Linked DNA regions of Mus musculus. The protein of the gene in region 1 purifies or fractionates together with the protein of each later gene. This does not show direct contact. Links are inferred from orthologs where the notes say so. Each region holds a gene or a part of one and is shown on either strand. Other genes may lie near its edges.

The links.
Region 2: the proteins of Sinhcaf (region 1) and Arid4a purify together in Homo sapiens (affinity purification with mass spectrometry; 3 studies listed by BioGRID and IntAct, counting the BioPlex papers as one, with this or other methods). This does not show direct contact. The link is inferred for Mus musculus from reciprocal best matches to the Homo sapiens genes SINHCAF and ARID4A.
Region 3: the proteins of Sinhcaf (region 1) and Arid4b purify together in Homo sapiens (affinity purification with mass spectrometry; 3 studies listed by BioGRID and IntAct, counting the BioPlex papers as one, with this or other methods). This does not show direct contact. The link is inferred for Mus musculus from reciprocal best matches to the Homo sapiens genes SINHCAF and ARID4B.
Region 4: the proteins of Sinhcaf (region 1) and Tnrc18 purify together in Homo sapiens (affinity purification with mass spectrometry; 3 studies listed by BioGRID and IntAct, counting the BioPlex papers as one, with this or other methods). This does not show direct contact. The link is inferred for Mus musculus from reciprocal best matches to the Homo sapiens genes SINHCAF and TNRC18.
Region 5: the proteins of Sinhcaf (region 1) and Sin3a purify together in Homo sapiens (affinity purification with mass spectrometry; 4 studies listed by BioGRID and IntAct, counting the BioPlex papers as one, with this or other methods). This does not show direct contact. The link is inferred for Mus musculus from reciprocal best matches to the Homo sapiens genes SINHCAF and SIN3A.
Region 6: the proteins of Sinhcaf (region 1) and Suds3 purify together in Homo sapiens (affinity purification with mass spectrometry; 3 studies listed by BioGRID and IntAct, counting the BioPlex papers as one, with this or other methods). This does not show direct contact. The link is inferred for Mus musculus from reciprocal best matches to the Homo sapiens genes SINHCAF and SUDS3.
Region 7: the proteins of Sinhcaf (region 1) and Rbbp7 purify together in Homo sapiens (affinity purification with mass spectrometry; 3 studies listed by BioGRID and IntAct, counting the BioPlex papers as one, with this or other methods). This does not show direct contact. The link is inferred for Mus musculus from reciprocal best matches to the Homo sapiens genes SINHCAF and RBBP7.

What each region holds. Positions count from the first base shown.
Region 1 is NC_000072.6:148,929,471-148,932,970, forward strand, and holds part of Sinhcaf (SIN3-HDAC complex-associated factor), read right to left. Parts: intron 1,181-3,500; coding exon 1,081-1,180; intron 1-1,080. UniProt on the Homo sapiens protein: Subunit of the Sin3 deacetylase complex (Sin3/HDAC), this subunit is important for the repression of genes encoding components of the TGF-beta signaling pathway.
Region 2 is NC_000078.6:71,074,967-71,078,466, forward strand, and holds part of Arid4a (AT-rich interactive domain-containing protein 4A), read left to right. Parts: coding exon 1-1,103; intron 1,104-1,476; coding exon 1,477-1,581; intron 1,582-3,500.
Region 3 is NC_000079.6:14,062,501-14,066,583, forward strand, and holds the start of Arid4b (AT-rich interactive domain-containing protein 4B), read left to right. Parts: upstream 1-1,283; 5' UTR 1,284-1,532; intron 1,533-1,542; exon of another isoform or gene 1,543-2,098; intron 2,099-2,324; 5' UTR 2,325-2,373; coding exon 2,374-2,379; intron 2,380-4,083. UniProt on the Homo sapiens protein: Acts as a transcriptional repressor. May function in the assembly and/or enzymatic activity of the Sin3A corepressor complex or in mediating interactions between the complex and other regulatory complexes.
Region 4 is NC_000071.6:142,814,863-142,818,993, reverse strand, and holds the start of Tnrc18 (trinucleotide repeat-containing gene 18 protein), read left to right. Parts: upstream 1-1,331; 5' UTR 1,332-1,722; intron 1,723-1,743; exon of another isoform or gene 1,744-2,277; intron 2,278-2,677; exon of another isoform or gene 2,678-3,548; 5' UTR 3,549-3,792; coding exon 3,793-3,979; exon of another isoform or gene 3,980-4,131.
Region 5 is NC_000075.6:57,110,876-57,114,375, forward strand, and holds part of Sin3a (paired amphipathic helix protein Sin3a), read left to right. Parts: coding exon 1-277; intron 278-2,670; coding exon 2,671-2,840; intron 2,841-3,500. UniProt on the Homo sapiens protein: Acts as a transcriptional repressor. Corepressor for REST. Interacts with MXI1 to repress MYC responsive genes and antagonize MYC oncogenic activities. Also interacts with MXD1-MAX heterodimers to repress transcription by tethering SIN3A to DNA.
Region 6 is NC_000071.6:117,109,494-117,112,993, forward strand, and holds part of Suds3 (sin3 histone deacetylase corepressor complex component SDS3), read right to left. Parts: intron 3,387-3,500; coding exon 3,317-3,386; intron 321-3,316; coding exon 265-320; intron 1-264.
Region 7 is NC_000086.7:162,773,872-162,777,371, forward strand, and holds part of Rbbp7 (histone-binding protein RBBP7), read left to right. Parts: intron 1-681; coding exon 682-758; intron 759-1,864; coding exon 1,865-1,922; intron 1,923-3,500. UniProt on the Homo sapiens protein: Core histone-binding subunit that may target chromatin remodeling factors, histone acetyltransferases and histone deacetylases to their histone substrates in a manner that is regulated by nucleosomal DNA.

The DNA.
Region 1 (3,500 bases):
AGACAGCGACAGTGTACTTACATATAATAAATAAATAAATAAATAAATAAATAAATAAATAAATAAAATCTTTAAAAAAGAAAATTTGCTGTTTCTTGCAGAAGCGAGTTTAGTTCACAATGTTCACCTAACTCCAGTACCAGGAGATCCAATATTTTCTTTTGGCCTCTGCAGGCACCAAGGACATGTTGTATATTACATGTAGACAAACACTCATACATATTAAAATAAAAACATCTTTTAAAAAAATAAAAAGTGGGCTGGTGAGATGGCTCAGTGGGTAAGAACACCCGACTGCTCTTCCGAAGGTTCAGAGTTCAAATCCCAGCAACCACATGGAGCTGTAACGAGATCTGGCTCCCTCTTCTGGTCTGAAGACAGCTATAGTGTACTTACATATAAAAAAATAAATGAATCTTTAAAAAATAAATAAAAATAAAAAGTGTTGCTCATGTCATCTAAGTTAAATTATGAGAGGTCTGCTTCCCAGCGGACTAGACAGCCATGCCTAGCACCAGGTAGTTCACGACTGCCTGCAATTTCAGCTCCAAGGGGTCCCATAGTCCCCTCTGGTTCACTCACACAGGTGGAATACACACAGAAGTAGATATAATTTTACAAAACTGCAAATATATCTAAAAAGACCTATTATGAAAATTCTAGTGACAGGAGCAAAAAGGCCAACAAAATCCACATCTACATTGCTGACTTGATCACAGCATAAATATAGAACAGCACCATCTAGCTTTTTCTTTTATAGGCACCATCTCATTTAGGCCCTAGAGTATCTCTATGGACAGCTAAAAGCTTTATAACCTGCCAGAAGTCTACAACTAGCAAACAGTAAACACAAAAGGCAAACAAGACTAAATTTGTGCGTCATGAGTTCAAAGCAGCATGCCACTCTTGAAGGTGAAGAGGAACTGTGTCTAAATCAGAATTACTACTAGTCTAGGAAATGCCACGCCAGGCTAGTGGTTTTCTTTATTCTTTTAGCCTTTTCTATCCCGGTGATACAGAATTTCCTAAATTGGGGATGGTGATATTAACATTGTTTTAGATAGAAAAAGATGAACTAACGTGATTCCAGTTTTTTTTTGATCCTGCCGGCAACTTCTTCCATCTTTTCACAAGCAGCACACAGGCATTACAGATGTCTCCTGAGCGAGTCTCATGCAACCTGACAGGAAATCAACAAGTCATCATGCTTTGCATTCGTGAGGACTCTGTGTGGAGACTTCTCTTGGAGAAAAACACATCCATTTATGGTTCATAAATGCAACTTCTGCCGATCCTAACATAGTCTTTCCATTGTTTCTCTAGTACATTTCAGATATAAAATTAATGTTCTGGTAGTGGTCCTACACCCACGTTTAAGTGAGTAGCACTAAGTGGATTCAGTAGCATCTTAAAAGAATTAAAAACAAACTATGTATTTTATGTATTGGTTTTAGACAGGACTTCACTAAGCAACCCTGGCTGTCCTGGAACTCAATTTGTAGACTGGTCTGGCCTCATAGACATCTGCCTGTCTCTGCCTCCACAGTGCTGGGATTAAAGGCATGTACCATGGGAAGGAGGGAGGGAGGGAGGGAGAGAGAGAGAGAGAGAGAGAGAGAGAGAGGAAATGAAGGAACTTAGGCAGTTGAAGTTGGGAGAGTGGTAGAAAGGATAAGGATAGATTTGATGAAAACATGAATAAAGAAACAAACTTCTTAATTTAAAAAATTAGCTTAAAGAAACCCAATCAATCAAATCAATGTATTCCAATTAAAAAATCTTTAAGCCAGATGTAGTAGTGCATGCCACCACTAACAGCCAGCACTTGGGAGGCAGGGACAGATGAATCTCTTGAGTTCAAAGCCAGCCTGGTCTGTATAGTGAGTTCCAGAACAGTCAAAGCTGCACAGTGAGAGCCTGCCTTAAAAGAGGGGGGAGGAGGGCTGGAGAGATGGCTCAGCGGTTAAGAGCACTGACTGATCTTCCGAAGGTCCTAAGTTCAACTCCCAGCAATCACCATCTGTAAGGAGATCTGGCGCCCCCTTCTGGAGTGTCTGAAGACAGCTACAATGTACTTACATATAATAAATAAATAAGTCTTGAAAAAGAGTGGGGAGGAGGTGGCTAGAGATGAGATGAGATGATTCAGCGGTTAGTTGGGAGCACTGACTGCTCTCTTCTAAAGGACCCGAGTTCACGCAGTCCACAACTATCTGTAACTCCAGTTCCAGGGCACCTGACACCCTCACAGAGACATGCATGCAGGTAAAAACCAATGTACATAAAACAAAATTAGTAAAAGTATTTTTAAAATTAAATTCACTTAGTTTTTATGTATGTATATCAGTGTGTGTGTGCCATGCGCCATGGAGAACAGGATCTCCTCAAACTGGAATTACAGAGCTGTCATGTGGGTGCTGGGAACTGAACTAGGGTCCCTGGAAATGCAACATGTGTTCCTAATTGTTGAGCCATTTCTCCAGCCCAAGTGCTCTACATACATATATATAATATACTTAGGAGCAGGAGAATTTCTAGAAACTCACAACCAAGTAGCCTGGCCTAAGAAGCAGAAAATACATAAAATAATCACCTGTATGCCAAGGATCAACACTCACGATTGCCCCAACCCCCAACATGAATCCCACAGCACATGCAAGCACTCAAACGTGTACATGCACCAGGCAGTAGTGGCACACGATTTTAATCCCAGCAGTTGAGGCAGAGGCAGGCGAGTTTCTGAGTTTGAAGCGAGCTTGGTCTACAGAGAGATGCAGGGCAACCAGGGTTATACGCACCCTTTTCCTGAAACAAACAAAATCAAAACAAAAAACAAAAAGGAAAGGTACATATGCACTCAATCAAACAAACCAAAATCAATGTCTGTCTCATCAAGTGCAGGTGTGCACATGTAGCTTTTACTATGAAAAATGGTTCAGTATTCAATATTTTATTCAAGTATCTCTTGGAAAGTTAACATACCCTGTTAAGTTTCAGGGCAGAATATTTAAGTATACTACTACCATCCTCCTCAGCAAGTTAAACGATAACTGTTTTCAAATACAATGCAGAGCCGGGCGGTGGTGACGCATGCCTTTAATCCCAGCACTCGGGAGGCAGAGGCAGGTGGATTTCTGAGTTCGAGGCCAGCCTGGTCTACAAAGTGAGTTCCAGGACCGCCAGGGCTATACAGAGAAACCCTGTCTCGAAAAAACCAAAAAAAAAAAAAAAAACAATGCAGAAAGAATACAGGAGGACCACTCCTGGTCAGAGAATAAGGATACATTTTTAAAATACACTTTTAGGAACAAAAGGGTTTGTCCAGCTAAAACCATAAAGAGGCAGAGTAAGCAGTCAGTACTAACTCATTTTAAGAACATGAAATCCTTAATACCCAGGTATTAGAAACTAGTGGTTTTAATTATTAGCACATTGCTCCCTTTTCATTGCTCCCATTGCTTTTCATGGAATTATCTCCACATTTTTCTAAAACTATTTTT
Region 2 (3,500 bases), on another chromosome or scaffold:
CCAGCTGGAGAAGAGCTCAGGGGGTGAAGATCTTTCTCCTGATGTCAAAGAAGAATTGGAAAAAAATGAAAATGCACATGATGATAAACTAGATGAAGAAAACCCAAAGATTGTACATATATCAAAAGAAAACGACAGGACTCAGGCACAGCCCTCAGACACCCTGACGGTGGAGGCAGGGGACAGCGATCAAATTGTGCATATTTTTGGAGACAAAGTGGACCAAGTAGAAGAATTTAAGAAACAGGTGGAAAAGTCTCCCAAAGGGAAGGGAAGGCGCAGCAAGACAAAAGACCTTTCGTTAGAACTTATAAAGATTTCACCTTTCGGCCAGGAGGAAGCAGGCAGCGAAGCTCATGGGGACGTTCATAGCCTGGAGTTTTCTTCACTAGAATGTAAAAACTTTTCTTCTACTGAAGATGACATCGACCCATATGAGAAAGAAAAAAAGTTGAAACGAAAAATCCTGGGACAGCAATCCCCAGAAAAAAAATTGAGACTTGATAATGGCATGGAAATGACAACTGGAGTGTCCCAAGAGAGGTCTGACGATGGCGCGGGAGCCGAGGGCATGAAAGGCGCACACGTGGAACAGCACTTTGAAACAGAAGGTGAAGGGATGCCATCGCTGACAGCCGAGCCCGACCAGGGCCTTCAAGAACTGACTAGTGAGAAATCGGACAGTCCAGCCGAAGAAGAACCGGTGCACACGCCACTCAAAGAAGAGGAGGATGCGATGCCTCTGATCGGGCCTGAAACCTTGGTTTGCCATGAGGTAGACCTGGATGATTTAGATGAGAAGGATAAGACCAGTATTGAGGATGTGGTAGTAGAAGGCTCTGAGTCTAACTCTCTGGCTTCCGTACCACCTGCCTTACCTCCTGTAGCACAGCATAACTTTTCCGTAGCTTCCCCACTCACTCTCAGCCAAGACGAGTCCCGAAGTATAAAGAGTGAGAGTGACATTACAATTGAAGTTGATAGCATCGCCGAAGAATCACAAGAAGGCCTCTGTGAGAGGGAATCGGCGAACGGGTTTGAAGCCAGTGTTGCCTCTGGTGCCTGTAGTATAATTGCACACGAGCGAGAGAGCAGAGAGAAGGGTAAGACTTGCGGGGGACTGAGCCAGTCAGGGCTTGGCTATGACAGACGTTTACAATTGTCTGTTTAAGAAAATAGTGGGGGGCTAGAGAGATGGCTCAGCGGTTAAGAGCACCGACTGCTCTTCCAAAGGTCCTGAGTTCAAATCCCAGCAACCACATGGTGGCTCACAACCATCTGTAACAAGATCTGACTCCATCTCCTGGAGTGTCTGAAGATAGCTACAGTGTAACTTACATATAATAAATAAATCTTTTTTAAAAAATTTAAAAATTAAAAAAAAAAAAGAAAAGAAAATAGTGGAATGGCATGGACAGGTGTGTAAACGGACCTGTCTGCCTCTGCTTCTGTTTTCAAGCTTTTCCTTTATTTCAGGTCAGAAAAGGCCAAGCGATGGAAATAGTGGATTAATTGCAAAAAAGCAAAAGCGAACCCCAAAGCGGACAAGTGCTGCAGCCAAAACTGAAAAGAACGGAGCAGGTGGGTGTTTGCCAGCGCTCGACTTCCGGTGCTCGGCCTCCGGTGCTCAAGCACCCGTGACCTTGCGGGTGCTTGTTGCTGTCCGTTCCTGCCCAGCACAGACTCGGGACTTGATCATTTGAGCCATTCCAAAAATGCGTGAGGTTTATTATGTTCTGAAAATAATTTCATTCTTTTTAGTGTGTGTGTGTGTGTGTGTGTGTGTGTGTGTGTGTGCGCGCGTGCGAAACATTTGTACTCACGTGCACGTGTGTGTATATGCACATATCTGTGTATGCACATGCCATCAAATGTATGTAGAGGTCAGAGAACAGCCTGTGCAGTCACTTCTCTGTCTGTCTGTATATGATGGGATTAAACTCAGATGTGGAGGCTTGCACTGCAAGAACTCTACCGGCCTCCTCCCCCCACCCCCATCCCACCCCGCCTTCATTTTAATCTAAAGATGCCTATTAGTTTTACTTAGAACTGCAACAGCTAAAATTATCACAAAGCAATTAAATATAAGGCATTTCAGAATCTTCAAGAAAAGAAAAGGTTTGTTGTGGTGTTAAAAGTATGCAAAACATGTGTTTATACTGGGAATGGTCTCTTTTAGTCAGTGTAGTGGCTATTCCTGGTTGTCAACTTGACAATATTTGGAATGAACTACAATCCGGAATTGGAAGGCTCACCAGTGACCCTTATCTGGAGGCTTGGAGATCCTTATCTGGATCTTGGTTTGAAGATCTTGAGCCATATTGGCTATGGATTCCAGAAGATTGAATCTCCGAGTTTAAGGAACACACCTTTAATCTGGGCTACGCCTTTCATCTGGGATTAAAGGTGTGGTGGAACACACCTTTAATCTGGGCTACACCTTCTGCTGGAGACAATATAAGGACATTGGAAGAAGGGAGTCTAGCTCTTGCTCCTGCTCCTTCGCCTGCTTGCTGCGTGAGACTGAGTAACTGCTAGATCCTTGGACTTCCATTCACAGCTGTGACTGAACGATTGTTGGGAATTGAGCTGCCGACTGTAAGTCATCAATAAATTCCTTTATTATCTAGAGACTATCCATAAGTTCTGTGACTCTAGAGAACCCTGACTAATACAGAAGTTGGTACCAGGAGTGGTTCTAGAGTAACAGAAGTACAAGGATGAATCTTTTAAAATTCTGGAATTGGCTTGTTGATCCACCAGCACTTTCAACTATTGAAACCTCTACAGATTCTCTCCCTCCTGGGAGCTCAGAGAATTTTGAAGACCCATGGTTGAAACTATATTCCGAACTTAAAGAAGCTAATGCCCTTGATTTTCTTAATGAATTAGGTGATTCAGTGCACAAAGCTTTCTACAAGATGGGGAAAAAATCGAAAAATGATTTTACTGGCTGGCTGCTCTTAGTATCTGTGGAAAAAATGATGAATGAAAGGAAGGAGTTGTGTGATAAAATCGAAAGGCTCCAGACACAAGTAAACAATCTAAAAGTTGCTAAGTGTGTCCTTGAGGAGAATCTTCTCTCTTGTAGCAATAGAGCTCAAGTTGCAGAAAATCAAACGGAAACTCTCATTGTAAGATTGGCTGAACTACAGCGAAAATTCAAGTCTCAGCCTCAGAGTGTGTCGACAGTTAAAGTAAGGGCTCTAATTGGCAAAGAATGGGATCCTACAACATGGGATGGGGATGTGTGGGAAGACCATGTTGAAGCTGAGAATTTTGAATCCTCAGATTCTCAAGGGTTTGCCCCACCTGAGGAAGTAGTACCCTCAGCCCCACCTCTTGAAATAATGCCTTCCCCACATGAGGAAATTAATTTTGCAGAGTCTGCTCACGGCCCACCAATAGTTTCTTCTAGACCTGTAACCAGACTCAAAGCAAAACAGGCTCCTAGAGGGGAGGTAGAAAGTGTAGTCCATGAGGAAATTCGCTACACTACT
Region 3 (4,083 bases), on another chromosome or scaffold:
TACTGGATCAAAATTCCTACCTCACCTCTCTGGGCCTCAGTTCTTCCTACTGGGAAGTCTTTTTCCTGAAACAGGTTTCCTTTCCTTTAGGGACTTCCCTTAGTAACTCTGGCTGGCTTCTTGAGTCAAGCTTAGTTCTCACACTCTCAGGAAAACCTTTCTATACCTCTCGAAGCCAAAGGTCCTCCTATCAGGTTTCATTTTGACTAGACTTCCGTTCAGGAAGTTATACATCCCCTCTTTCCACATGAGGACTTCTAACATCTCAGAGGGTGAACTCTGAGCATCAAACATTCATACAATATTGAAAATTTCATGCAAAGTATCTCTCTCTCTTTTTAAAATAGGCCGGCTCTGGCTTGAGACTAGCGACACAGATATGGGTCACCGAGCTCAGCTGTTAGGCGCATAGCAAGAACCTTTGACTCCAAGCCCCGGGGGGCGATGGCTCTGAAGGAAAAGAAAGGGCTCCACACAGGCATAGCTGTAATAAGCTCGCAGGCGGGCTTCTTCCCTGCGCTGCACCGGTGGCCCTTCCACTCTTTCCGAGCTCCTCTGCCTCCCCTCATCCCAGCACCCGGCCGGCAGTCACTCCGAGCCGGGTCAGCATCCGGGTCCTCTCTCCCTCCTTACTGCTTCCTCCTCCGTACCGCCCCCTCCCCCGCTCCCCATCCGGGTCCCCCCTGCCACCGCGCTGTTGCTCACGGTTCCACGATGATCTCAGACTTGAAGCCGCCGCCGGTACGAGACTAGCAGTGCCCACATCGACTTCTCAATTTATTGTTCTGACTGCGGCTCTTCAAGAGGCTTCCTTGGAGCCCTCCCACTATTTCACACAGAAATCTCTGCCCTCCTCAGCGGCCAGCGACGCCGCAGCACTCAGTGCAAGAAAATACGCCATCCCTATCACACTGCGCAGGCGTCGTATGCCACCTCCCCTCTGCCTCATGGCCGCGCCTCCTTCCCCTCCCCTCTCTCGTCGAACGCAGGCAAGTGGGCATTGCGGTCTTGGTAGTTCTAATGTCCGTCAGTTTACCGATTGGCCTAGAAGACTGGACTACAATTCCCAGAAAGTATTGAGGGATAACTTTCTGTTTCCATAGAACTGGTGGGTAAATGGCGTCGTTGTTTGCATCGCTCAAACCAATAGAAACTTGGAAGAGGCGGGCTCCAAAGAATCCTACCCAATCCTAGGTCGTCTGAGAGGCATCCGGGAAAGAGGTAGGGGAGGGGCAAAGGGCCGAGGGGAGGGGAGAAGGGGCAGGGGGGCCAGAGAGGGGGGAAAGCGATGTTTGCCCGTCAGTCGAGTCCGGAGTGAGGAGCTCGGGCGCTGGAGCGGAGGGAGAGTCTCGAGCCGCAGTTTGCCGCCGCGACGGCCACCGCCTGGACTTCTGCCCGGAGGGAGCCGCTGAAGGTCGGCCGCCGTGTTCCTCTGGAGGGCTGTGAGACCGGGGCCCGGACCTCCGTCCGAGAGGGATTTTTTTGTCGCCCCCCTCCCCCCGCGAGGGAGCCGGAGCGGCCGCCAAACAAAGGTACCAGTCGCCGCCACGGGAGGAGGAGGAGTCGGAGCCGGAGTCCCGGCCGCCGGCGGACCCGCAGCTCCTTCGCTCTCTCTCCCCACAGGCCTGCTGGTGTTGGGGGTGGGGGGAGGCGGATCAGGGGGCTCTGGCCGCAGGGCTCAGACCTCGTCTGTGCCCGAGGTAGGGACATTCTTTTCTATGGGGGAAGCTCCGGGCCGGGCCGCGCATCGGGGCAGATGGCAACGGGGCTGAGTCGGCGCTCGCAGCGGGGCCTCGGCCTCCTGGGACCCCCGCCCCCCGCCGCGCCGAGCCGGAGCCGCCCTACCCGGGCCGCACCGTGGGCCCGGCGGCCTCGGGCCGCCGTGCTGGGAGCTGGATGTCCTCGGTGCCCGGTCCCGGCTCCCACTTGTGGGCCTTGGCTCGGGCGGGACGCGGGCGGACGCTGTGGGGCCGAGCCTCCGCAGCCCAAGGGCCCGCCGGTTCACCGAGGGCTCAGTCCGGGGGCTCCGGGCATCGCGGTTCCGTAGGCTTGGACGGTCGCAGCCGCGCTTCAGGCCGCGCCGGACCCTGGGCTTGTTGTGAGTTTTCTTCTGACAGAAATGGCGTCATCGTGGAGGACGGGGGAAAAGTCCGTGGAGTCGCGACAATGGGGCGGCGGGCGGTGGGGGCGGTAGGGGCGGTGGGATGGCGCGTGCCTGCTCGGGGCTCCTGGCCCCGCTCGGTGCCGCCCCCGCCCCTACGGCCTGGGGCGGGGGTGGTGGTGGTGCCGGTGGTGCTGACCCGGTGTCTTTGTTTCCCCTCCAGGTGCAGGTGAAGCTGGTGTCGCCGTGGGGATCGCGGCCCCAGAGTCACCATGAAGGTAAGGCGTCACTTAGCCAGTTTGAGTGGCTTTCGAATTCAGGAAGTGTCGGGGCTGTAGCAGGCCTGCGAGTTTTGCAGAGGCAGGTGTGTGTGTGTGTGTGTGTGTGTGTGTGTGTGGAGTGGCTCGGTGTGGAGCTTTCCCTGACAGGGTCAGCTGGAGCGAACATCCACAGGCTGTGTGTTTCGAAGTTATGGAGTCAGTTAGGAGATAACCTCACCCAAGCTGTTCAGGTTTCCCAAACAGAACAGCACCTTTTGCATGGAGCCGAAGGAACAACTGCACACATTAAAGCGTCTTAAATCGTAAAACGGAAAGCTGGTCTAGTAACCTGAATATTGAAACTGTAGTGGGTCTCTCTCTCTGTTCAATGATGAAAGGAAATGTCATTTGATTATGTGACCGGGACCGTAAATTTTAAGCAGAAAGCAAAATACTGAAGATGTTTAAAGCAGTTTGGTGCTCCTTCCCTAAAGAAACCCGAGTTGGCCTGCTGTGCCTTGTATTTCTAGGGACTTAGGTTTCTGTATGGTTTCTTTTTCTCACTGTTGGTGTACTGATCTTGGAGTTGACTCTTTTAAGATATGTTGTGTGTAATGGGCAGGTTGTACTGAAGTAAACATGTTGACCACAGAATAGCTTCTAAGAAATGTGTCTAAGAAGTAGTCTGTGTATTGATGGAATAAATCACAGCTGTTTTAGTTTTTTTTTTTTTTTCATATTGGTATGAAAAGCTTTAGGTATCTGAAAATATCTAGATTTAACTGTTGGAACTTTGATACTGGAAAATTTTTCTTTAAAATCTACTACAAATTCAGATATGCTTGGAAAGCGTGTGTATTGAAGTGTTAGAATGTAAATGACATCTACTTTTGACAGTTCTTTTGGGATTCTTTTTTTTTTTTAATTTAATTAATTTTTTTTTAAATTTTAATTAATCCAGTGAGGATTGCTTTTGTAGGACTGCATCCAGGTACAGTTTCAAAAGCTTCTGTTTGTAGACTACAAATGCTGTTGCCACTTTGTGTTTGTCTCTTGTACAAAGCAGTTTAGACCCTTTTAAAGGTTTTTTTTTTTTTTTTTTTTTTTTTTTTTTTTTTTTTTTTCCTCTTTTTGAGTTTGGGGCTCTGTAGAGGCTTGGCTTTTATTTTCTAAGTTCCTGTCTTTCATATGAATGAAAATGTAACCAGTGTTGTATGAGAGGTGGAACCTTTTTGTTTGTCACAGATGTACAACCTGTATGAAATAGTGAAAAGTGAGTGTCTTAGGGCAAAGTGAAGTTTTTAGGGAAAGCATATATCTGTCTTGTTGTTGGGTATGACTGGAGGAAAGCTTTAGGTTAACTGATAAATGTATACTGCACAATACATTTGGAAGCTGAATACATTTGGAATAAATGTTGTAATCTGTTAGTTCCTGTTGTGATGTCTGGCACATCTTAAATTCTCAGTAAATGTTTGTCTGAAAGGGAGGTACTGAGTTGAAGATGTCAATATGTTTTTGTTTTTCTTAATTTTCATTTTCTGTGTAAAAAAAACTTTTCTTTTTGAAGAGAAAAAAAGGAAGGAAGGAAGTAGGTAGGTAAGTCAGGTGTGAGGGTGCGTGACTGTTTCCACTTCCCATTGGTGGAAGGAGGATCAGTAGTTCAAGGACAGCCTGGGTTAGAGGCTAGCCTGGTCTACATATTGAGTTGGAGGGCAACAA
Region 4 (4,131 bases), on another chromosome or scaffold:
TCGGCGGCTCCCTGCCACTTAACTTCGAAAGTTTTTTTTTTTTTTTTTTTTTTTTTTTTGCTGAAAGAGCAAAATAAAAGTACAAAGTCTGGGGGATTAGTGCTCCCCTCCCCCTCTGGCCGCCGTGGCCAGCCAAGCACTTTTGGGCTTGGCTTGCTTCCTCTGAGCTCAACAGATTTTTTTTTTTCCCTTTCCCGGTCTCGCCCTCCCTGGAGGGGGCGCGGCGGATGGAAGGCGAGAGAGGCCCCCAGCCAAGAGGTTTTTAATATTACACCTTAATAGGTTTCAGAAGGCCCCGTGGAGAAATGCTAATAGGGCTGAAATGTCAGAACCGAGAGGGATTCAGCTCGCGTTCCGCCGATCTAATCCTTTTTTCTGCTCTGGTTTTTCTTGGCGGGGAAAGGGGGAAGGAGGGGCGCCCACGCCAAAAGGGGCTTTGGGGAGGGGCGCGCGGTGCGCACTCGGCCGCAGAGCCCCACAGCCCGGGTTTCTATAGGAACCTTTTATAAGATGCAACTCACCGCTGCCGACCGCCGCGGCCTGTCCAAAATATTAATCAGTAAAGCCTTCTGACACCGCGTTTCAGGGAGGGGACCCGCAGGCAGGGGCAAAAGGAAAAAAAAAAGGCCTTGTCGCCTGCCTGCCCACCCCACCCGACCGCGACTGCTAGGGGGAAAGGGAATGAATCGCTGCTTTATTTTAAAAGGCGAGAGTGAGCGAGCAAGCGAGAGAGAAGCAGGCCTTGTTATTTTTCGTCTGAACCTCGCTCTTTGGAGTGGCACCCTAGAGAGGGAGCGCCGGGCGCGGGCGCAATGAGCAGCTCGCCGGTTCCCGGCTCTTCCCGGCTAGCTTGTCACCTCCTCCCGAAGAAGGAAGCTGACAGGAGGCCTTGCAATGCCCGGGATTGCGGCGACAACCATCTTCCTCTATTTTGATCACTCAGCCCAGACGCAGGAGGAGGGGCTGGGATGTGGGGGGAGGGAGAAGGAGAAAGAAGGGGGGGGTCTGCTGGAGCTGGTGTGGGGGAGGGCTGCCTAGAAACGGCTCGGAAAAATTCTCACCACCAGTTTTGATCATTCAGCCCCGCCGTGGGGAGCCTGGAAACTGCTGGAGCCCCGAGGTCCGTAATTGGTTTTATAGGAATGGCTGAGGGCCAAGGTGTTTACATGCGCGTGATGGGCGGCGAGCGGGACCAATGCGCTGCGGCCGGGGGCTGGCCCGAAGGGGGGGGCGGGCACCCGGGAACAATGCGTGTTTCTTCGCCTGCGAGGCTCCCCTCCCCCGTCCCCCTTAAGCCCCCCCTTCGCTTTTTTTTTTTTTTTTTTTTTTTTAGATCCAGCGAGAGGAACTTGAAAGGGGGGTTGTGTAATGTACCTTTTCCAATCCCGGGCTGTATATGGAGATTTGGGATTCTTTAAACCGGCGCTACCTGGATTTTATTAAAAAGCGGGGAGCTCGGCGGGAGGAAAGCTGGCTTTTCCGGGGGCTGCGGGAGCGGGGCCGCGGGAGGGCGGAGGAGTTGGCGCGCCGCGCGCCCGGCCCGGGGAGCGGTTTTCTACCAAAAAAAGGAAAGGCGGGCAAAAAGTGTGAGGCGGCTGCGGGTGGCGGAGGGGAGCGGCGGCCGAGGGATGGCGGGCAGTACGGGCGCCTAGCCGCGCCAGGAACCGCGGCGGTTGCCGGAGTCGCCGTCGGAGCCTGGAGCCCGGAGCCCCGCCGCGCCAGGTACGCTCCGGGCCCCGATGCTCCCCGAACTTGTGCAGCGTACCCCTTGGGTCCGCAAAGCAGAAGGTCCCCGAAACAGTCGGGGTCCCCAGAAGGGAAGCGGAGGGCAGGGATCAGGGGGAGAGGACGCATCGCTGCGCCTTGGACTCCCACCCGAGCTCTCAGTCTGCAGCACCGCCGAGGGCGGCGGTTCCCTACTTGGTTCCCGGCAGGCGGCGGGCTAGCCCGGGGACGCCGAGACGGTTTCGATTATAGGCTGTTTTTAATTAAAAGCCGGAATTCAGCCATTTTAGCTGCATTTAAGAGGGGAAAAGTAGAGAAGGACGCAGTGGAACCCCGCAGATAGCCACGCCAGCTTCTCGACCATGGCAAAGGCTGCTCCGTAGGGCTTCACCCCGACTTCCTTAAAGTGGGGCGCCTGGGCTCTGCCTTTTTCAAAACGCTGCCTTTAATGAATATTATCTTTAAGTGTATGCGGGAAGCTCCTGGCGCCTTTGAGACAAGTATCCCGGGCTGTGACGATCCTAGATTTTTTCAAAAGTAAACGCGATTCTGGTAACCAGAGCCTGATAAAGAGCGAGGGCGGGCGAGAGGAAGAGGGGGTGTTGTAACCAAAGCCACGTTAAAATAGGCGTCCTTAGCAAAGTTGGGGGAAGAGGACTTTTGGGTCTGGGCGTAGGGCGGCTGGTCACCCGGGAGCTGTGGCTTAGTCTCCGTCTGCTAGAGCGCCCCGGTTCTCCCGGAACCAGGGGGTCTAGAGTAGCCTGGGGCTGGTAGTCAGGGAGGGAAGGGTGGGCTCTCTGAGACCTCCCTACCCCCTCGGGAACAGGAAAGCGACAGATCTTTTAAACAAACAGCTTAAATAGGACTTACAGGAGGGTTTACCCGATGCTGGGGAGGCGCCCCTCCGCTGGCCCGCGCTGTTAAGTTATTTTTTTTCCTTTGTAGGTTATTTTGGGGGTGTGTGGGTCACAAAGCTAGGGTAGAATTGAGATCTTTGGAGACCCCTTCTTTCTTCTCTGATGATCCCCAAATCCTCCACACCAAGCCACGTTCTCCGGGCATCGGTATTCCCAGGCCCGGGCGTTGGAAAATGAAACCAAATCTTGTTTTGAAGGAGTCTTTTTCCAGTTCACGGGCGAGAATGCCACGTCTCGGGGACTCGGATTCTGCGACTCCCAATGGCCCAACGGGGGCAGCAGGAGGGGGGCGGTGATCTTCCTTTAAAAATAAACCCGTTTCGTATCTGACCTTGGTAAACAACAACAAAAAGCCCCTAAACCGAACACCCCTTTTATTATTATTATTATTATTCGCGGCTCACAAGGAGAAAAAAAAAAGGGAGACGAGGGCCCTAAAAAGGTTAAACATTAAACTTTGCGAATCAGATAGTTGGTATGGCGTTATGGACACATTTCAACCAACTCAAAAGCATTCGAAGTTTTAAACCTCCAGAGCTTGTGACGCCTGAAAAATAAACTACGGGTTTGGATTTAGCTGAACGGGCGCGGTCTGTTGAGTGGCCTTCCCCAGTTAGGGAGAACTTCGTAGGCAAGAGACGGGGCTGGGACACAGCGAGCCGGGCCGCTTCCCTGAGCCACGTCCCTGGGAACCCTGAACTGCTGGAGGAAGGACCCTAGGTTTTCGCATTTCGAGGAGAGGGGGCGGCTACTCCCGATTTTATTTCTGGCCACCAGCTCGGTTCGCTACTCTCCTACCCTGAAGGGCGAGGCGACTTTCTGAAACTTGTTTTCTTTTTTTTCTCTTTCCCCTCCCCTTTTCCCCCTTCCCTCTTCTGTGTCTTCCGCGGTCTTCCCTCACCAAAGATACCGTGTACGCCTCCTTCCTCATCTCCGCTCAGCCGCCCGGAGGGGACTCACCGCGGGCGGTTCATGCGCCCCGGGCCGCGGGCCCGTGGTTGAGCGCAAGCCCCGCTGGCCGCCGCCATGCACGCCGCGGAGCGCCCGCCACCCGAGGACACTAGGACTACATCGAGGCCGAACTTTTAAGTCCCACTGAAGCAGGCCGGCGGGCCGGGTGGGGAGGCTGATCGCGGCACTCCCGCGGAGGATGGATGGCCGAGATTTCGGGCCCCAGCGGTCCGTCCACGGCCCCCCGCCGCCGCTGCTGTCCGGCTTGGCCATGGACAGCCACCGCGTGGGCGCGGCCACCGCCGGACGCTTGCCCTCCTCGGGCTTGCCAGGTCCCCCGCCGCCCGGGAAATACATGGCCGGTCTCAACCTTCACCCGCACCCGGGTAAGTGTTGCGCACTGTGCTAGCACCCACCCTCCAGCTTTGATGGGGATATTAGGGCGGGAGCCCAGGTCAAACCTAGGCGGCTGGAGCTGGGCGTCTCTGTCCGGTTTCACCAGGGTGTGCAGGAGGCTCGCTCAGCTGCTAGCGCAGAG
Region 5 (3,500 bases), on another chromosome or scaffold:
GGCAGCCCCCCTAAGTCCAAGTTGCTATTTAGTAACACAGCAGCTCAAAAGTTAAGAGGGATGGATGAAGTATATAACCTTTTCTATGTCAATAACAATTGGTATATCTTTATGCGACTGCATCAAATTCTCTGCTTGAGGCTGCTACGGATTTGTTCCCAAGCTGAACGGCAAATTGAAGAAGAAAACCGAGAGAGAGAATGGGAACGGGAGGTGCTAGGCATAAAGCGAGACAAGAGTGATAGTCCTGCCATACAACTACGTCTCAAGGAACCTAGTGAGTGCTTAGACTGTCAGCTTTATGCATGGGGTAGATGGCTGGCTTCAAGGCCACCTTACCTTGAAGTACACTTAGTCCTTAGATTGGAACTAGGGTTCGTATCCTACCTCTGCAACTTAGCTGGTTGTGTAACCTTCCTTGAACCCATGAATGAAACCCCCCCCCCAAAAAAAAAAAAATGGAGGCAGTATTTGTCACTTTCTGTGGTTGCTTGAGGGCTTAAGAAAGATGCAAGCATGGAACCTTGTACAGTATCCGGTTCATGGTCATGTGAGGTGTTTAGTTTGCACTGTGGACACATGAGGGACGTGGGATCCATTGGCTAGGTTAGTGAGCAGTGGTTCAGATGAGAAAGAAACGTCACAGTTCTTTCTATTCATAACATAGAAATTCCTTGTTATGCTTATGGCACATAAGGAATCTTTTCAGATGTGTGTTAGCATCTCCTTAATGGGCTTCTTGGTTCATTCCTGATATTTCTGAAGAGGAATTGGCACTCAAGATGGTTTGAGACAAGGCAAAGGGATAGACAGGATTCAAGGGAAAGGAAGCCCAGAGGCTCATTTAAGAAGCTAGCTATCATTGGCTGTATGCTGGGTTCTGCCGCCTCCTTCCACATAATGCTTTCATTCTGAAGTTGGGTGCTTAACCTGTGAGCCAGACACATCCTCACAGGCTTCCCTTCTTTGCTCTTCACGAAATAGTAAATAACTGCTGTAGGAGTCCTGTGTATAAACCTAGTTTCTTATCTGTTGAACTAATAGCACCAGGAATCTGTTTGAAAAGCCTTTATCTGTTTTAGTCCTAGCTTGGAAGAAACAAGTAGAATTTACAAATATAAATCTGGGCTTGATCACTGTCTTATCCTGGACTTATGCTGAAGCAGCTTATTCTTGAGTGATAGTGCCAACTTCATGCCAGTCATAGTTTGTGGCTATAAATCTGTGGTTTGGACTCTTATCCTAGTATATTTTAAAGGCTAGCTCCCTGCTTCCTGGGCTTAGACAAAGTGATGTAGTGTGACACAACTCAAACCAGTAACTTGTTTTAAGCAGTGATTGTTCGTTTTTGCCTGTAAGATCCACCCCATTTGTCCCCTTTCTAATTTCTCCTTACTAATGGATGGCCAGTAATCAGTAAGTGTACTTTTTGTAGTTAACATTTTTGATCAAATTTTTATTGATGTGCAACCTGTATGCAAAAAGGAACACAAATGAGAATCTGCATTTGTGTGGGGTGCATGTGCCTTATGTGCAAGGAGGCTAGAAAAGGCTATGGCCACTGTGTTATGTACCTTCCTTCTCGAGACAGCGTCTCACTGAGCCCCCTAGAGATCCTCCTCTCTGCTGACCTTCACAGTGCTAAGGTGACAGGTGGTGACAGCCAGGCTTTCACATGAGTGCTGGGGCAGGGGCTCTTATCCACTGAACCGTATCTCCTGCCCCACAAATAGAATTTTATGGCTCTAAATTTTTCTATAATGAGCATACTTTAGTCAAAAAAAGAGGTCAAGAAAATAAAGCCAAGCCCCAGTAACTTCTTTGTTCTACTATTTTGGTTTTCAGACTTAGAAATGAGTTTTTTTTGTATTTGAGAGTGGGTCTACTGCTATAAAATGCTCACTGTCCCAGAACTTGTTTTGTGGCCTAGGCTGGCCCAGCAATCCCCTTGCCCCTGGGATTATGTACATACATACATACGTACATACATATGTACATACATACATACATGAGCTCCTGGTGCCCTTCTTAGTTACTATGTCCTTTTACTAGTAAGATTCACTCCAGCTACTGGTTAAATGTTTCATGTGCAACAAATACAATTCATCTAATGTAATTACTGGAGTTCAGTGTTGCAAATCTATTTTAAGCAAAGGGACTGTGATACAATCAGAGTTATTCATTTTCATAGAGGGGTTAATTTGAATAACTTCTGTAGCCAAGAGTTCCAAGTGTGGTAGCATCTACCTATGCCTGTCTTCTCTTGTCCATACTTTATTCTTCATTGAGGTACACTCATGAGCAACTGTCCCCTTTGTGAAATGGTTTTGTGTAAGTGAAGGAGCCAGCAACTTGAAGGACTCTCTTGGGATATTTTGCTCTCAGGTGACAGAACTCAGCAGTGCTCAAAGTGTCTTTTTAGCAGTCAGTCTGTGCTGGAAGCGACTGTTAGAAGTTGCAGAGTCACTGTTGGTTCTTCGATGGACAGTTCTGGTGATTATAGCTGCCTACTAGATGTCATCTCTGTAGTGGGTTAAGTTGGACATGTTTTTGCATATCTGGTATTTTGTCCTTTCAGATGGTATATAGGCCAGCTGTGGGATTCTGTATTCTCTGTCCTCGAGCTTGTCTTAGCAGAGTACAGTCTTACCTGTCTAATCTTTCCTGTAGTGGATGTTGATGTAGAAGATTATTACCCAGCTTTCCTGGACATGGTGCGGAGCCTGCTTGATGGCAACATAGACTCATCACAGTATGAAGATTCACTGAGAGAGATGTTCACCATTCATGCCTACATTGCCTTTACTATGGACAAATTAATCCAGAGCATCGTCAGACAGGTGAGAGGGTGTGTTGGAGGTTAGCGCTACCAAGGGAAGGTGTTCTCAGCTAAAAGTCACAAAGGAAAAGCAAGATTTCTATGGGAAAAGGAAAAGCAGCTTAACCATATATATAGCAGTGTTTATAAACATATGTCTTTGAAGTGGAAAGGACCAAGTTAACATGAAGTCTTGTGTGGCTTCTCCTTCAGAGACAATAACAAACATCCCTTTGATACACTGACAGCAAACCAAAGAAATGATTCTAGTTAAGTCTTAGTGAGCCATTATGTGTGTTGGGGTCACTTAAGGAACATGAGCAACCCAAAGGCAGTGCAGTGAAAAGCCCACTGTACACAAAACCTGAGTCTTTGAAGCTCCTGCACAGCCAGAGGGCAGCTTGACCTATGGGAGAGAGTACTTTCCCCAGAAATTGTTTCTCCTTTTAGAAGAGGATCAGAAATTCAAGTTCATCCTTGGTGGGGATGGGTGTGGAGATGGTTTCTAATTTAAATTTCAGGGGATTTCTGAATTTTCTATTTCCTTTATTTCCTGAACCTTGTACATTTTGTTTACTTTATGAGTCTGGTGTTACTGCTCAGAGAGGATAGCTCAATAAGTCTCTCTCCAGCTCACAGAACTGGACTCTTCCAGCCCTGGAATTGGTTCTTAGGTTCTCAA
Region 6 (3,500 bases), on another chromosome or scaffold:
TCTTAAAAAGACAAAGTCTATCTTAGGCATGGTGGTCTCCATGCCCCAGGGAAACGTCAAGAGTGTGTTCCACACTTCATGAAGACAGTGAAATATCAAAGTCAGGAACTCACTCTTTGATAAGAGACAGCAGACCATGTACAGATGACTCAAACAGACCAGTCTCAACCCTCCTCGCCTGCACTCCCAGACAGAAGCGAAACTCACAGACTTCAATGGCTTGCAGCAGGGGGCACTGTGGAGCGCGGGCAGTGGCACACCTACCTTCCTGAAGCTGTTGCAGCTGCCTCTTCAAAGATGCCAGTTTGTCCTGATACATCCTGCAAAAGAGGAAAGACTCAGCGCACAGGTTGGAGGAGTGGGCTGACCTGGAGATGCGAGCGGTGGTCTTCAGGGCAGAGAAGGGGAGTCAGGCTGAAGAGGTTTGAGATGAAGGGATCACAAAGAGACACGCCCCCACATTCCTGAAGTGCATGCACACACACACACACACACACACACACACACACACACCCATGAAGCCGTGCGAACTGCACAGGGTGAGAGCCACAGGCACTAGCGCATCCCTACAGTACAAGGTAAGCAAGAATAGACCAAGAATGGCAGGCAAAAGGGGGCTGAGGAAATGGGGCGAGAACACTTGCCACCAGCACTAATGGCCGGAGATTCACCTGTGGACCCAGCAAGCACAGTAGCAGGAGAGAACCGGTCCTTGCAAGCTGTCACCTGACTCACAGTGCAACACAGCATAACCCCCTTAACGCACAAGAAGAATACACAGAAATGTGATTTCCAGGCTGGTGAGATGGCTCAGTGGGTAAGAGCACCCAACTGCTCTTCCAAAGGTCCGAAGTTCAAATCCCAGCAACCACATGGTGGCTCACAACCATCTGTAACAAGATCTGACGCCCTCTTCTGGAGTGTCTGAAGACAGCTATGGTGTACTTACATATAATAAATAAATAAATCTTTTAAAAAAATGTGATTTCCAAGGGATTGTGAATGGTGGGATGTGGTTCCCTCAGCACACCCGCCCTACAGACAGCATGGCTGTTAAGGACCAGGCCCACAACCCTTCCCACCACGTGAAAGCTACTACCTTTCCAAGAAAAAAGAATGCCAATCCAAGCTCAAAAGGCAAATGCAGGCTGGATGCAGCCCCGGCTAGGCTAGGGCATAGAGCACACTAAGTAATGTGGCCAGTTCACACCTAGCACATGGAGGGGTTACAGGCAACCACACACCAGCGAGTCCATCTGGGCTGGGAGGCTGGCCGGGCACATCACATCTGGGGCAGTGCTTCTGCTTCTCCATGAAAACCTCCCAGTTTCTCAGTGGCAACAACAAAGGCCTCGGAGAACACGGTTCAACAAGACCCTCTCACTCCTCAGAAAGGCTAACAGACACACAGACCCCTCGCTTCAGGACAGTGAGGGGTCCCTGAGCCCTCCCGACTGCTCTCTGGGGACCAGTCCTAACGCACAAACCCCTCGCTTCAGGACAGTGAGGGGTCCCTGAGCCCTCCCGACTGCTCTCTGGGGACCAGTCCTAACGCACAACTCAGGTACACCACAGTGGCCGCAGTTCTCATCACAGCGGATGTCCAGCTTAGTAAGTATGAAGGAGGCACGGTAATCAAACGCTTATCTCTGAAACTGTTGCTGAGAGGGGCCGCCCGGCTCTAGAGGTGGCTCAGGCGCTATGGGCACTGGCTGCTCTTCCAGAACAGTCTATATATAACTCCAGTTCCAGGATAACCAACGCCCTCTTCTGGCCTCTGAGGGCACTGCACACATGGTACACAGAGCATGCAGGCAAAACGCCCATGCACATAAAAGAAAAAGAAATGTCTTAAAAAACAAACAGACAAACAAAAAACTGTTTCTAAAACATGGCAAAGACAGGCGAGGACAGTGTTTGAGAAGTTTGTAGACCCAGGACATCAATTCCCTACCACAAAAAGGGAGCAGGCAAAGAGATTACTTGGGGAATGAGAAAGGAATCGGGGCTGGGCACCAGATCCACTGACATCACATCCACGGAGAAGAGTCTGTGAGAGCAAGTTTCAAGCAGGCCGGACTCAGCCAGTAAAAAGCTGGCAGAGCAGCAGGACCAGGCTGAGTTTCAGGTGCAGCTGAGTGCACACACATGAATTGTTAATGTGTCCTCGCCCAGCAGCGGTCACACCTAATTGAGTTCCTGCTTTGGGTTGAAGATGACCGATGCTAGAGAGAAGGGCATGCACATTTGAAAGGAGAAGCCAGGGGAAGAAATGGGGACTACGTAGCCTACAGGAGTTTAAGGGTTCAAAACCAAGAGCCTTGAGATAGACCCAGTCACCACTTCCTGAAAACTGGGCACGGAGCCTCAAAACCTGTAACCCAGCACTTGGGGGATGAAGCAGGAAGACTGCGGTGAGTTCAAGGCAGCCTTAGATCACCTCCAAGTGATCCCCTATCTCAAACACGCCCTACGCGACCACACATCTGGGCACAGATCAGGTAGCAGGTGCAAGAGCGGTGGGCAGGCACCTGAGGTTCAGCTACTTGGAAGGCTGATGCAGGAGGACACCTGGAACCCAAAAGCCTGACACCAGTCTGGCAACAGGGAAAGACTCTGGATTTGTTTCTTGCTGGTGGTTGACGGTGTGTTTCTTTTAAAAACTAACGACAGCTGGGGGGGGGGGGGGTGCACGTTTAATCCTAGGGCTTGGGGATAGAAGCTGGTGAATTCAAGAGAGTTCAAGGCTAGGCTCATCTAGGGAACAAATTCTGTGATAGCCAGGACTACACAGTGAAACCCTGTCTCAAAAAAAATGAGTAAATAAAAATAATAAGGCCAGGCGTGGGGACAACACCATCAATCCCTGCATTCTGTGAACTGAAGGTTAGTCCGGTCTCAAAACAACGCTCTCACCCCTCTCAGAAAACAGTCAGAGCTTTAGCTGACTGTGGCTTTCGTGAAGATGTGTGAGAACAAACAGAATGTGGCAGGAAAGGGGGTGGCAGCCTGCTCCCTCAATTCCCAGGACACTTGGGACACCCAGCATATGACCCACAATATAGGACAGGGGCTGGGGGCCTGCAAGATACCCATTGTCCTGGGTACCAGTTTTCACAGCAATTCTAACGGCCTTACTGCCCCAGCCCACCATGCCCATCACGGCTCCTGCTAGTCTAGCCTCCGAAGAGGCTCCTAACAGGAAGGCTCCTAGATGCAACCAGAGAGGGAAACTACAGAAACATCTGTGCTTTGCAAGCACTGAGGTCAAAAGGGGGCCTCTGTATTCCAGAGAAAAGGCACCCGGGCTACTCACTGTTCCTTCATCTCCACGTAGTCTTCCTCATCGTGCTTCGCCAGGTCAGTCTCGCTGGCATCCTCGGTGTCTGGGCGAAACAAGGGGAGAAGCGGGCAGTTATGATCAGGTTCACAGAATCCGCATCATGACAGCGTAATCGGCAGACTTCTGGGAGAAGAAGGAGTTTCTATCCCATGTGGGT
Region 7 (3,500 bases), on another chromosome or scaffold:
ACCAGGCTGGCCTCGAACTCAGAAATCCACCTGCCTCTGCCTCCCAAGTGCTGGGATTAAAGGCCTGTGCCACCACTGCCCGGCTGAAGTTTTTTTTATTTGGTGGAATTTGGACATTTTGTTTTTGATAAAGCTCCTCATAATTCTATATAAATCAAGGTGATGGATATTTTTGTTGTTGCTGTCATTGTTTTTGAGAGTCCCCTCCCATCCAGAAGTAAGAAAAAATTCTTCAATGGAATCAGTTTGAAGTACATTTTCAAGGATTTTTCAATTAAGAGTGACAATATGGTGGGTGCACTGTAAAAATGGTCCTATACATAGTTTTGGATTAGAGATTATAGGCTAATTTTAAAGGTTTTATGGATGGTTATGGGTCTAAAGATTTCTGGGATTCCTGACTTCTTCAGTACTAGAAACATGACTTCCTGCCTGCAGGCTTGGGGAGCTGGGAGTAGCTAAGGATTTGGGTACGTAGCTCAGTGGTAGAGCAAGCACAAAGTGTTGGGTTCAGTGCTGCCATCAAGGTGGATTGGTAGGGCTCACTTTAAAGCCTTGGACAGTCAAGTCTCTAGGCTAAGCGGATACAGAATGTGAGGTAAGGAAATACAGATTAGAATGATACTTACAGACCAAGGTACCAAGGCTCTTTAAATAAGTTTTCAAAATCTGTATTGCTAGGTCCACTGGTCTCCACATAATGAAACTATTCTGGCCTCAAGTGGTACTGATCGCCGCCTGAATGTGTGGGATTTAAGGTAATTTAGGATCTGGTGACAAGGAACTGCATAAATGTGTCAATCTAACAGATTACATAATAGAACTCATAAACCAGGAAAGCAATTTGCTGATCCAACTTCAATAAACTCCTAACTACCTTAAGAGTTTCTGTTCTGTGATAGAAAAGTAAATCAGCAATTAACATAAATTGGTCATGTATTTTGTATGAGTGTTTTGCCTGTGTGTGTAACACATGTGTGCCAGGTACTCATATCAGATCCCCAGAACAGGGACTATGAGTAGTTGTATAGGGATAGTACAATGTGGGGGCTGGGACATAAACCCTGTTGTGCATCAGCAACAAGTGGCCTTAACTGCTGAGCCACTACCACTCCAGCCCTATTTCTTTGTTGCTCAAGTCTTTGTTATGTGTGCTTAGCAAATTAAAATACCTTTTGCTACAGTTCACTAGGGTTGTAGCTCAATGATAGAGCTAGCATACACAAGGTTGTGGGTTCAGTCTCTAGTACCACAAGCATTAAAATACTGTCAGTGTCTCCTTGCATGTAGCATAGAAAAGAGAATTGTTGGATTGAGTGTTTTCGCTTTCATTTTTTGTGACACAGGGCATTGTGTAGCTCAGATCAGACTGGCCTCAAACTCATGATATTCTTGACTTTTCCTAACAAATCTTTCTTTGGCTTATACTTCATTAAAACCACAGTTAAAAAAGAAATTGAACTAATGTTTATTATGAGCAATATTTCTTCATTGTGCAGCTTTAATTTATTAGTGGCTCCAAATGAACAACTCACAATAATAAAGAATACTTAAGTCTGTTCTCAGCATTCTTGATGCTGCCACCCTTTAAAGTTCAGTTCCTCTTGTTGTGGTGAACCCCCCCAACCATAAAGTTATTTTTCTGGCTACTCCATAACTGTAATTTTGCTACTGTTATGAATCATAATATAAATGTGTGTTTTCACGCACCTGTGAAAATGTCGTTTAGCCCACACAGAGTGGCAACCCATGGGTTGAGAAACCTGTCTTAAGTACTTCTCATAGAGAAATACTTTCTGGGTTAATAAAACACACATGCATGCTATAAGACTTTGCAGTAATGAAAGCTTTATTTTCTTAATAGTAAAATTGGAGAAGAACAATCAGCAGAAGATGCAGAAGATGGGCCTCCAGAGCTCCTGGTATGCATTAGATTAAATGTCATATTATGCACACTTGAGTACTTTTTTACTAGACTATTTTAGGTCAGTCAGAGCTTCAAATTTTAGCTTGCCAGTGATTTCAAAAAAAAAAAAAAAAAAAGGAAATCCAGGAAGTTTTTGTGATTAGGCTCTGTAGGCTCTGACATTTATTACAAATGGTAAATGGAGCCCCAGAAGTTTCTGGAAATGTTTCAGTGAGGGTAACTTTAAGTTCCTATTGATTTCAGGTATGGTGTTTTTTGAGGCTTGTTTTGTTTTTGTTTTTCTGCTGGGAGGGGGATTGGGAGGTAGTATCACTGCTGTTTGATTACCAGCATGGTTTTCTCTAACCATATGGAAGTTAACACTTTTCTGTGAAATACTGACAGGCTTAGTAGTAGCTCTTTGTCCCTTTTCTGAATTGTTCACCATGTGTCTCCTCCAAACATTTGGTCATTGTCTCTAACATAGGTGAGAATTTATGGTGCATGAATTTTAAGGTGAAAAAAACCCTTTGAGAGTAAGTCCAAGACACAGAAGGTGTTCACTAGTGCTAACCTTGTGCAAGCTCCCTTGTCTCTTTGGCTTCTGTGCACAGTAGCGCCAGGCAGAAATGAGCAAGAGAAGGATAGGGGATTTTTAGACCAGTGTGTTTGACATTTATATCATTGCTGCTTTAAAAAATAATTCTATAACCCAGGAGGCTCAAGCAGGAAGGCCATGAGCTTTGAGGCCATGGCGGTGGTGGGGTAGGGGGATGAGACATTGAGTGTGTGGTATACAGATGGTAGTGTCCAAAATACTTTATTGTGCCTGACTCTTAGCCTTCATGATTTTTTTTTCACAAAGGCCTTTTGTCTACAGCTAGTTTTCTCTGTGTATATATTATGAATTTGCAATAGTTTTATAGTCCTTAAGGAACACCATTATGGGGCTAGTGAGGCAGCTCAGCATTTAAATACCTACTGTTCTTGGCAAGGGGACCAGAATTCAGTCCTCAGTACTCATGCCAGGTGGCACACAATGCCCTATAATTCTAGCTCCAGAGAGATCAGACATATCTGGCTTCCATAGGCACTGTACTCATATATATATATATAGGCATACATGCCCATATAATTGAAACTTTTAAAAAGTCTATTATGGTACTCATAAGAAAGCTTGAAATCAAAGGACATTTAAATTTAAGACTAGTAAGTTGTCAGTGAAGAGAAACGGTTCAACTGATAGAAGCAAGCTTGCCCCCCCCCCCCCCAAGGAGAGAAAAACACGAAGTTATTTATTTGTAAAGCTGTTTACCATACCATTTCACTTATGTGAAATTGTTGCTTTTAGTTTTTTCTGTAGCCAAGGCCTCACTCACAGAGATATGTGTGCTCTGAGATATGTGTGACACCCCCCCCCCATCTTGGTTTGTTTATCTCAGTTTTTTTAAAACTGATAAAGCTGTACTACAAGGTTTGTTAGGCATAGTGCCTTGTAGAAAACAAGATCCCACCCTTTTACATTTTTGGGGAAAGTTTCATTGGCCTATGCTGCAAGTCTGGACCTTAAAGTATTTATTTTTGCAACCCTGTT